3 linked regions of the Tribolium castaneum genome follow. The protein of the gene in region 3 interacts with the protein of the main gene of each other region in a biochemical or structural test. Links are inferred from orthologs where the notes say so. Each region holds a gene or a part of one and is shown on either strand. Other genes may lie near its edges.

Region 1 (4,451 bases), about 2.0 Mb from region 3:
TGGATTATTAATGATCAAGAAAATTAATAGAGTAGTGAAGCAGCTTACTCGTAATACAGTTTTTATTTGATTATATTGGTTTCTGTTTTATTTCATTGCAAAAGCAGCTATTTAATGATCATTGTTGTAACGTCTATAAACAATGGGTTAATGAATTCGTACTATTTTTAGCTTTTCTACAATTGAAAAAAGATGAAATTTGCTCAAAGACCTCTAAAATTAAATTCTTTCAAATCACTAATTTTCTGTTTTTATTACATGTCATCAAAATACGTATAACAAAAAATGCAAATCAATGTTTTGTATAAAGAGTAGGTATTTGTCTACGCAATTCAAAATAACCATAATTGTGTAAATAAAGTGGTCTGCGTTATAAACATTTATTTTCGTCCTAAGCTAAAAACAAATCGGACATTGAGACAGATACCTTAAAAAAATAAAAGATTAGAAAAATGTTGCATCATTTTTTTAGCGCAATTCTGTCGTGAATCTCACTATCGAGAATTTCAATTGATTTTAGATACGTGTAAGGTAAAGGTCATGCGAAACAACGATGCCGTGTAACAAAACTTCTGTCCTTAATAAACATCGATTTAATGTAATGGATATTGTGGTTATAATTTCAATGCCTAAGTCAATACCACATCACATAAGTTTATTGTCGCCAAGTTGAAGATGTAAAATAAATTTAGTTTCCACTGCCATTAAATGTCATACTTTTATAATTTAATGGTCGAAATATGTTTGAAAATGGTGTTTTTTTCAATGATGTTTTTTTTTCTCAAAGGCATTGTGACCTGCATTGACGACACCCGCCATGGCATGGAAGACGGCGACCACGTCACATTTTCCGAAGTCCAAGGAATGACCGAACTGAACAATTGCAAGCCGATTAAAATCAAAGTGTTAGGCCCTTACACGTTCAGCATCGGCGATACGACCAACTTTTCGAAATACGAGCGTGGCGGTATTGCCACTCAAGTGAAAATGCCCAAAACCTTGTCGTTTAAATCACTCAAAGACTCGCTAAAATCGCCCGAATTTTTGATGACCGATTTCGCGAAATTCGATCATCCACAGCAGCTCCACGTGGCTTTTCAAGCGTTGCACAAATACGTCGAAAAGCACGGCCGTGTACCAAAACCGTGGAACAACGAAGACGCATCCGAATTTCTGTCCATTGCTAAATCTTTGGCCGTGGACGGCGGAAACGATACCGAAGTGAACACTAACTTGTTAGAAACGTTTGCGAAAGTGTGCGCGGGTGATTTGAATCCGATTAATGCGACTATCGGTGGTATCGTGGCGCAGGAAGTTATGAAAGCTTGTTCGGGGAAATTTCACCCGATTTATCAGTGGTTGTATTTCGATGCGATTGAATGTTTGCCCACGGAAGCTGGGGAAATTACCGAAGAGTCGGCGGCACCGAAAGGCACACGCTATGATGGACAAATTGCGGTCTTCGGAAGCGAATTCCAGAAGAAATTAGGTGCGTTTTTGTAATTTCTTGGCGAAAAGTTGCTAATTTATTTTTTGCAGGCGGTTTGAAATATTTCGTAGTAGGTGCTGGAGCGATCGGTTGCGAATTACTTAAAAATTTCGCTATGATGGGAATTGGTGGTGAAGGTGGACAAATCACCGTCACTGATATGGATCTTATTGAAAAATCTAATCTCAATCGACAGTTTTTGTTCAGACCACATGATGTTCAGCGTCCCAAATCTGGAACGGCAGCAAAGGTAAAATCATCTTATTGAAACAATTCCGAATTTAATGGTAAAAAACGATAAAAATGGACCGCACAGATGCGTAAACATTCAATTTCAAAGATTTTAAATAACGCGGTCAATTATCTTCGCTAGAGGTTTGTACTAGGTGAGACCATAACAGGCCAACTAAAATTCTCGGCAGTTTTAAATACTGTGATAAGCTGGTTTAATACGTAAAATTATCCGCAGAATTCACTGGAACAAACTGTTTGTCTCTACCACTTTTAGTTTTTAAGTTATTAAATTTTTAATGAGTAACCCGGCGCATCCACCATTTTTGAAGATGAAATTTAAAAATGTCTTTAAATAAAAAAAATCTTTATTTTTGCTACAGGTGATCAAGAAAATGAACCCGAGCATAAACATAGTCGCCCATGAAAATCGCGTGGGCCCCGAGTCTGAAAACATGTACGATGACACTTTCTTCGAGTCGTTAGACGGCGTAGCTAACGCTTTAGATAACGTTGACGCTCGTATCTACATGGACCGTCGATGTGTCTATTACCGAAAACCTCTACTAGAATCCGGAACCTTGGGTACAAAAGGCAACACCCAGGTCGTAGTGCCTTTCCTCACCGAATCCTACAGTTCGTCACAGGACCCTCCCGAGAAGAGCATCCCGATTTGTACCCTTAAAAATTTCCCCAACGCCATCGAACACACTCTCCAATGGGCTCGTGATAATTTCGAAGGCCTTTTCAGACAGAGTGCTGAAAACGCATCGCAATATCTCACCGATCCTGAATTTTTGGAACGTACTATTAAATTACCAGGAGTTCAACCGATTGAAGTGCTGGAATCGGTCAAGGCAGCTTTAGTTGATGATAGGCCAAAGAGTTTTGAAGACTGTGTAGTGTGGGCCCGCCATCATTGGGAGGAACAATATTCAAATCAGATCAAACAACTGCTTTTTAATTTCCCGCCGGATCAAAAAACCAGCACTGGACAGTTGTTCTGGTCGGGACCGAAGAGGTGTCCCGAACCACTCACATTCGATGTGAACAATACCTTGCATTTGGATTATGTTTTTGCAGCGGCTAATTTGAAAGCCGAGGTTTATGGAATACCGCAGAATAGGGATCGGGCTTACATCGCCGAAGTGGTGCAAAAAATTCACGTAAGCCAGCCACTTTAAGCTTTAAAGAAATAAATATGATTTTTTTTTATTAATATCCAATTAGACAATGTTTTATAATATTCTTATGATAATTAATTGCAGGTACCAGAGTTCGTCCCGAAATCTGGCGTCAAGATCGCCGTCACCGATTCGCAGATGGCAATGACGAACGGTTCAAGCGTCGACTTGGACCGCGTTGGCCAAATCAGAGAGGAATTACCTTCGGTCGCCGAACTGGGCAATCTTTGCCTCACTCCACTTGATTTCGAAAAGGACGACGACACAAACCTCCACATGGATTTCATAGTAGCGGCTTCGAATCTCCGAGCCGCCAACTACAAAATCCCTCCAGCCGATCGTCACAAATCCAAGCTGATCGCCGGCAAAATCATCCCAGCTATAGCGACAACAACCTCAGTCGTCGCCGGCCTCGTCTGTCTCGAGCTTTACAAATTAACGAGAAGTTTGAAATCGTTGACGCCGTTCAAGAACGGTTTCGTCAACTTGGCTCTGCCGTTCTTCGGGTTTTCGGAGCCCATTGCCGCCCCCAAGAACGAGTATTGCGGGAAGGAGTGGACGTTGTGGGACCGGTTTGAGGTGGATGGGGAGATGACTCTGAGCGAGTTTTTGGAGTACTTTAAAGAGAAGCACGGCTTGGAGATCACGATGTTGTCGCAGGGCGTGTGCATGCTGTACTCGTTCTTTATGGCCAAAGCGAAGGCGCAGGAACGCCTGGGGTTGCCCATGTCCGAGATTGTGAAGCGAGTGTCGAAGAAGAAGCTCGAACCGCACGTCAAGGCGCTAGTGTTTGAACTGTGTTGTAACGACGCTGACGGAAACGATGTCGAAGTTCCGTATGTTAAGTATAATCTACCTTGAATGGTTGCGTGTTGGCTGCATTCGTATTAGGGCATTTAATGACAGTTATTAGGTGTGCACTAAATTGAACTATTCTGGGTATTTGTCAAATTGTGATCTTGTAAATTATTTATATTTTTTGCAAGCATAACTAGAACACGTGTTCGGTAGGAATTTGTTATTACTTGCCCAGTGATTCTCACTTGATTTTCTATTATTTGTGTTATGGCGAGTGAATTCAATGAGCTAATGCAATATAATCGTACGTATGCTGATACTGGATACATTGTAGGTTCAGGATAGTGTTTATTTTCTTAAATATTTTGATGTGTGAAATTTAATAAATATGTTTTGAACATTACGAGCTCTCCTTATTTCTCCTTTTTTGTACAAAATTATAAATTAAAACTTACTGCAACTGCGTTGGAGTTGGTCATCCTGTATTTTAATTAAATTTCCTGCCATATGGCAGAAGGACGCTGCAAAATTGACCACCAGAAAGCGCAAAAGCCTCAACCTTAATCGTATGTGCAAATTATGCCAGGAAATACGAAATAAATCTTAAAAATCAGGATTTTTTAAACGCTCAAGGTCATTAAAGAGGCAGTGCACTCCGCACAGTTGGTATCCCTACACGCACTTGACGAAATGGTGGTGTATTTATTTTTGTTTTGTGAAATTAAACAATATAATATTTCGTGAAATTG
Region 2 (4,382 bases), on a different chromosome or scaffold from region 3:
GATCACTTGTAAAAGTAACAATTCTAAGGACAGTTCATTCACTTGTGTCTCACTGTTGAGGGACACTGTATATGGGAGAAAAGACGGAAGAAGGATTTTCAAAATTCGAATCGGGAGCCACAACATCAAAAGAACAACACTACCGAAGATAACCGCCGAGATCAACAATTTCCGTATATGTTCCAAGATAGGTAAATGGATCATTTCTTGAATTGGACTGAAATCAGGGTCGTTGAAGTTGCGCAAGAACCACAACACTCCTGGTCTTAGAATTTCACGCAAGAGGAGAACAAACGAAGCGAAATAATAGACATAGACCATTCCGATCAACCAATGGATGAAGATTGAAGTACCAGGAGCGGCACTAAAACTACTCTCCCTGTCTTTGAGCGAAGCGTCAAACATTGCCAAAGAGCAAATATCCAACCACCAGCCACAAACCAATGGTAGAATTCCGATTTCAACCACCGAAAGCATCGATACTTTAACCACCACGTAACACAAACCTAGGACGCGCTTAGCTTTGTAAAAACCCAAAACACCGGCGACTCGATGGAAGAACACAAAGAAAAGACCAACAGTGCAATAACCGACCAAAGTGGTCAATAAACCTTCGAAATGACTGGCCGAAGCCGCCTCCCTCATATTAACAAGGGAAAGAGTCATTAGACCCATATGGTACGGGGAGTAGGCAAAAATGAGTATAAACAAAGTGTTCAACGAAATGACCCAGAAAACGTGTTCCAGGAACATTAAAGAACCATCAAGACCCAACAAACGCTCCCATGTTATCTCCTCGGCCGCTCTATCCCACTCCATGGGTATCCAATTGTTGTCTTCGCCTCCATTCACTTCATTCTCCTCCTGTTGTTCCCCCTGATTCTCCCCTTGAGGTGCTACTTCTGGCTCCTGTCCGTTGTTCTCCTCCACGTCTTCCGGTATGTTGTTATTCAAGACGGGAGGTGGGGCATCTTCGGCCACGCCCACGTTATCTCTCTGTAACCAATCGGGTCCTCCCCCGTGTAAGATCTGCTCGCGCAGCCACACCAACCCAGCGAATGCGAATAGCGTGCACGTGACGACGAAGCAACCTTGGAAAATGTCCGATGCCAGGTTTTCCATTGAGAGGAGTTCAAACGGAAGGGTCAAGATGGCGTCGACAGTGCCGGCGAAAAGGGCGCGGTAGATCCGACAGGCTGTCAAAGGGACGATTCCGAGCCAAGCGATGGCGACTAGAGTGTAGTGGAGCCAGTATTTGATGGCGGTTCCGATGGAGGAGAGGAGACCGGCGGCGAGGTCTCGCACAGGGAGGCGGCGTGGCATGTCGGGGGAGTAGATGGGAGTGAAGGAGAAACGATAACTGCACAATTCGCAGTATTCTTTGCGCGAGTAACGCATCCATTGCATGAGGCATTCCTGATGGATCCACTTTATGCTGCCCGTGCAGATGCAGGGGTGGAACAGGGGGCGGTCGGGCAAGCCTTCCGAACGGCACACCCGGCAGATGTCGGTGTTGGACAGTTCCGAGTCCATCATTACGCTGAAAAGACACAGTAAAAAAAAAAAGACAGTAACTCAAATATCAAAAAACATTCCTAAAAAATCAGAGGGGAGCTGTATTTTCTCCAAATATATTTGGTTAATATTTTAACTATACTAGATCAAAATTTGTACTAAACAGAAAGTTTTGGAAGTGGCCATGAAAAAGTTTGTGCAAAAACCAGAGTTTCCCGCTAATGCTCTCTCCACTAGATTCTCCCTCTATGCAAGTCCATTATTTTTCCCTTCTTTTTTTGGGAGCATTTCTGATGTAAATAAGTTTAAATCTGGCAACTCTTTTTTTTGACCTGCTATCAGGCACGAGCCACCCCATAATATGAAAAAAAAGAACAAACAAAACAGAAGCATAAATTACAAAAGATGAAGTTTTTTTCCGTTCCTGAAAAGTTAATAACAATTTAATAAAGCATAAAGCTGAAACTAGACCCCTCAAATGAGACAGAATGTTTTTACAGACTTAAATTATTGAATTTCTCGAAAAAACTGAGTTGTGTATCTCTTAACCTTGACCGTTCCTTGCGATTTTCTCATTCCCATGATTGTGATGCAATCGAACTGAATCAATTTTTAATTAGTCCGACCCTGTCCTTGGTCGATTTCTTTATCGTCCAATTCCGGAATAAACTGAATATTTGCATTATCTACGTTCGAAACGCGACGACACCCATGAGAACAATTGAATTGAAAACAAAACAAACCTCCCACTTTGTACTTTGTCGTTATTCATTTGTTTTTCGGCAAAACAAATCGATTTTTTGCGTTCACAAATCAACTGATTTTATCTCAAGGTTACTTTTGCAATTAGAATAATAAAAAACGTTTGTTGTTAGTTAATTATGCCCAAAAACTGATAAAAAACGCATTATCTGTAGTGTGACAGACACAAGGGATTTATTTTTAACATAAAAATCTGGGAATTGTTCCAATGATTCACTTGGCCGTATCAAAGTTCCCCCAATCGTAAACACGGATTTTTCAAGTATATTGAGCCCCCATTGATGCAGTTATGTAAATTAGCAATTAGCAGGCCATGTGTTGGGGGCAGAGACCTCGAATGGCCCACATTTTCAATCCACCGATAAACGAAATTATTATCAAGGGATTACAACTCACACTAATTGATTTTTTTTTGATTAGTTAATAAGAATCAACACAATAAACAAGCTGGGACAAAAAATTACCTGATGTTTTTTGGCACAGGAAACTACTTGAATGTGAAGAACATTATGTAATTTACGGATCCGACTCAAAGATCCATAGTTGCGTGATCACAAATGCTCGAAATTCGACAAAAACTGCAATTTTTTAGGCGTTTTGAGGCTTTTCAGGACGAAAAAATTTATTTTTTGACGTAATACCACAAGACTGACGTTTACTTTCACTCAGGAAGCCAACTGTTGGCTAGTTCGGGAAAAGACCAACCTGACAAAACCACCAGTCACTAACACAAATAATGAGTTGTGCGGGGTTTTACCCTGATATTTTGACTTAAAACAACCCAGTTTCGTATCAGTAAAGATCACAAATCGCGTAATATCAATTGTGGGGCTTGGTTTGTGAATTACACTTAATTTCGTGTTACGTAACCTTAGCCACAAGAAACCTAACCTTAAAGTCTACAAAAAATGTCAACAAAGCGCTGATTTGGCGCCAAGTTTTTTGTATTGTGTTTTAGTGCAGTTTTTAGTGTGTTATCGAAGCAAAACATGATTTAGGAACAATGAAAGATTCAACTCCAATAAAGACCGGTAAAAAATCAAAGAAAAACAAGCACACCAATGAAGAAACCCCCGAAACTTCCCCAAATGGGGCTAAAATCAACGCGTTTCAATTTATGATGAATCGAAGACATCGGAGCATTGGGGGGAATTCCCCTGGGCGTGAACCTGACGCAAACGACTCGGAAACAGCCTCGGATAAAAGTGTCTTAAAGGAGAGGAAAAGTCGGTTTGAGAGCTGGGCGGAGGCCAAGGGGGCTGCCAAACGTAAACGAGAGTACGAGGAAGTCGGCAATTGCATCAGTTACAAGCTGGAGAAACGGGGAAAACGATTGAAAAAGTTGCTAAATATTGATTGTCAAAGTGACGATGAGGTGGTCACTAAAAGGAAGAAGCGGAAAACTGTTGTAATTGAAAGTGACAGTGAGAACGAGGCACCAAAAACACCAACTGCCAACAAAAAGTGGAAATTTAAGATCAAGTTGGCCGTGGATGACAGGAGTGATGTTGAAAATTCGTCTGTCAACAGTCAACGAAATGTTGAAAATGCCCAAGGAAGTGTTGAAAATGCCCAAAAAAGTGTTGACAATGCCCCAAAAAGTGTTGACAATGCCCCAAAAAGTGTTGAAAATGCCCAAGGAAGTGTTGAAAATGCTCAAGGAAGTGTTGAAAATGCCCAAGGAAGTGTTGAAAATGCTCAAAAGAGTGTTGAAAATGCCCAAGGAAGTGTTGCAGACGTGGTGATAGTTGAAAATGCCCCTGTCAATACGCAGTCTAGTGACAGTGGCATTGACGTCATCGAACTCGACGTGGACCCAGCCAACTCTGTTTCCGACGAAAATGCCTCACGCAGAGTTTTACGATCCCGAAAACCGAAAAAATACGATGATTTTCTTCAACTTTCTGATTCGGACGATGAGAAGAAGAAGAAGACAAAAGTGGCACCAGTTTTCTTAAAAGCTGTTCCAAAACCAAAATTAGATCCGGAAGCAATGGAAGCAAGAAGACAGTTTTTGATGAGTGGTGTTCCGTCTTCTTTGAAAAAAGAGATGGAAAAGGTGCGAATTTTTAGTACTGAAGAATCGGATTTTGATATTTTCCCGT
Region 3 (2,915 bases):
CAGGAACCGAGATAGCACTGCACATTTTTAAATCGGGAATCGAAGTACATGACGTAATAGTGCTTCAAAAGTTATGTAAGCATGCAAAATTTGAAGTTGCTACGATAACAGGAAGTGTCTCAAACTTATGTTCAAAATATTTATAATTTCGAAAGCCAATAAACAAAACAGGTTGAAAAAAAACTCTAATAAAAAATTTAGGCTTTTTTGTTGAAAGTCTTTATTTAATGCGATTTGTTTGGAACATATTTTACGAGTTAATTTTGGGGCACTTCCTGTTGTCGTAGCAACTTGAGATTTTACATGCACACGTAACTTTTGGAGCACAATTACGTCATGTACTTCGATTCCTGATTTAAAAATGTGCAGTGCTATCTCGGTTCCTGAGGGAGATACGGGAACGGGACCTATTCCATTCGATAGCCCAGGAAAAATACTACGGGGCGGTAGGGTTTTCAAAAGGACAGAACCACCCCTCTATCTCCAACAGAAACGAAGATATTTCGCATTTTGTAAATTGCAGATTTTCTTCAATTTTTATAAAAATTTTGATAATGAAATAAAATTTTAGTAAAATTCAGCAAAATTTTAAAAATGGATTTCGTATCAGGATCACAGGAACGCAAAAGGGTAATGAGAAATTATAAATAACTTAAAATACACGCAGATGTATAACTGGTTGCATGTAAACGCCGCTAAAAATTTCGTGGCCTCTTTGCGTTCCTATGATCCTGATACGAAATCCATTTTTAAAATTTTGCAGAATTTCACATAAATTTTCTAGCACTCACAAATTTTTTTATAAAAACTGAAGAAAATCTGAAATTCACAAAATGCGAAATATCTTCGTTCCTGTTAGAGATAGAGGGGCGGTGAAAACCCTACTGAGCCGTAGTATTTTTCCTGGGCTATCGAATGGGATAGGTCCCGTTCCCGTATCTCAATCAGGAACCGAGGTAGCACTGCACATTTTTTAATCGGGAATCGAAGTACATGACGTAATAGTGCTCCAAAAGTTATGTAAACATGTAAAATCTCAAGTTGCTAACATAACAGAAAGTGCCTCAAACTTAAACTTTAAAACGTCTTAAACTATTTTTTTTTAAATTGTAGGTAGTGACATTTGGGTGTCAAATCTTAAAGTACCTTTTATAGAGATCTATAAAACATTTAAAAATAATAAAATCTAAGGTAGTGACATCTAAGCAATGACTGCAAAACTACGCTCTTATAGTAACCTGTAAATTGTCAAAGTACCATCTACTGAGTCTGATCTATAGCTGTTCGATGGAGTTGGTGATTGCAGTGCACTTTTTTTTAAGAATTGACAAACGCTCACGTAAAATATTATAAAGAATAATTAAATTCATTCAATGCACATTTTTGGGTGCTCATATTGTTCAAATATTGATAAAAAATGGCAGGCTCAGCTCTAAGACGCCTTATGGCCGAGTACAAGCGTAAGATGCAAGCCTAACCTCAAACTATTTGCATTCGTTTTATGTTTCTAGAACTGACTCTGAACCCCCCAGAAGGTATCATTGCTGGTCCAATAAACGAAGAAAATTTCTTCGAGTGGGAAGCGTTGATAACGTAAGTTGTCTTTGTAGGGAAACTTTCATATGACGGGTTTTTAGTGGCCCTGAGGGGACATGTTTTGAGGGCGGTGTTTTCCCAGCTAAACTCATTTTCCCCCCGGACTATCCCTTAAGCCCTCCTAAAATGCAGTTCACCTGCGAAATGTTTCACCCTAATAGTAAGTATATTAGGGTTTTTGTAACAGGAGATGAATCAGCAGATTTTAGTTTATGCTGATGGGCGAGTATGTATTTCCATTTTGCACGCCCCTGGAGATGACCCTATGGGCTATGAGTCAAGTGCTGAGAGATGGTCTCCTGTACAGAGTGTTGAAAAAATTCTTCTCTCAGTTGTCAGCATGCTTGCAGGTACGTTTCTTCACAAAACAGTAACAAAATTCAACATGATTTTTAGAACCTAATGATGAGAGTGGAGCAAATGTTGATGCTGCGAAAATGTGGCGGGAAAATAGGGAGGAATTTAACAGAATAGCGGAGCGGATTGTAAGGCGAACGCTTGGGATTCCTACGTGAATTTTTACAAATTTTAACTGAGAGTTACGTCTGTTTGTTACAATTTTAATAATTTATGGGGATTAAAGTTTAGTTTTAAAGTTCAAGACTAAGGGCCTGGCTTGTTACCGCGCTAAAGTGAGAAAAAAATTTATTTCAATATATTATTTCTGAACAACAGTTAAACCATAAACTTAGTCTGTTAGGAACCTAAGCTATTGAAATAAATACAGCAGCATCCATTCACATCAGGAGTCTTAGTCTTGTCTAGCGCAAAACCCCGTTTTGTGACTAACATATTCACAACCTAATAAGAAATACGTTATTTTCTGGCTTAACTACTATCATGTGCGTTTGCTTCCTTATAAATAAGTTATTGGCTTAAAAACTACAGCTGACTTTCCAAGCATAACAATACTAAAATCACATTAAAACTTTGGTCTGAAAGTTAATTGCACAAATTTAACAAAACAACAAAATAAATAACTATAAATATGAAAAAGAAAGTGAAAACCTCAGGACTGCCGAGGATTTGTGTTATTCAAAACAATGTAATTGTTCAGAGGTATGTTGGAAACGATAGGTGCTTGGACTTCTTCTTCCTGATAATCGCGTCGTATCGCTGGAGTAGGGATTCTAGGAGGGACTTGTTCATTACTTGTATCTTCTACATCTATCAGATGCTCTGAATAATAATGCGGAGTGTTCAAGTAGTCGATCATTCTCCTCGGCAATGGAAGACTGGGGATCAGATCCCTGCGAACCACTTTGTGGATTGCAAATCTGCAAAAAATTCATGAGTAGAAAACATCCATGTATGTTTTA

The links.
Region 1: of the proteins of Ubc7 (region 3) and Uba1, one has a biochemical effect on the other in vitro, tested with the Homo sapiens proteins (5 studies listed by BioGRID, with this or other methods). The link is inferred for Tribolium castaneum from reciprocal best matches to the Homo sapiens genes UBE2G2 and UBA1.
Region 2: the proteins of Ubc7 (region 3) and E3 ubiquitin-protein ligase MARCHF6 form a complex in vitro, tested with the Homo sapiens proteins (2 studies listed by BioGRID). The link is inferred for Tribolium castaneum from reciprocal best matches to the Homo sapiens genes UBE2G2 and MARCHF6.

The regions. Positions count from the first base shown.
Region 1 is NC_087394.1:32,761,172-32,765,622, forward strand, and holds the end of Uba1 (ubiquitin-like modifier-activating enzyme 1), read left to right. Parts: intron 1-787; coding exon 788-1,489; intron 1,490-1,539; coding exon 1,540-1,739; intron 1,740-2,103; coding exon 2,104-2,886; intron 2,887-2,988; coding exon 2,989-3,765; 3' UTR 3,766-4,105; downstream 4,106-4,451. UniProt on the Homo sapiens protein: Catalyzes the first step in ubiquitin conjugation to mark cellular proteins for degradation through the ubiquitin-proteasome system.
Region 2 is NC_087399.1:3,029,993-3,034,374, forward strand, and holds the start of E3 ubiquitin-protein ligase MARCHF6, read right to left. Parts: upstream 2,944-4,382; 5' UTR 2,742-2,943; intron 1,541-2,741; 5' UTR 1,537-1,540; coding exon 1-1,536. Other genes in the region: elg1 (ATPase family AAA domain-containing protein 5), read left to right, coding at 3,281-4,382. UniProt on the Homo sapiens protein: Endoplasmic reticulum membrane-associated E3 ubiquitin ligase that plays a critical role in mitigating endoplasmic reticulum stress, the regulation of cholesterol and lipid homeostasis, and ferroptosis.
Region 3 is NC_087394.1:30,806,822-30,809,736, reverse strand, and holds Ubc7 (ubiquitin-conjugating enzyme E2 G2), read left to right. Parts: upstream 1-1,297; 5' UTR 1,298-1,417; coding exon 1,418-1,460; intron 1,461-1,511; coding exon 1,512-1,593; intron 1,594-1,637; coding exon 1,638-1,756; intron 1,757-1,805; coding exon 1,806-1,946; intron 1,947-1,992; coding exon 1,993-2,111; 3' UTR 2,112-2,338; downstream 2,339-2,915. Other genes in the region: uncharacterized protein LOC662537, read right to left, coding at 2,606-2,873. UniProt on the Homo sapiens protein: Accepts ubiquitin from the E1 complex and catalyzes its covalent attachment to other proteins. In vitro catalyzes 'Lys-48'-linked polyubiquitination. Involved in endoplasmic reticulum-associated degradation (ERAD).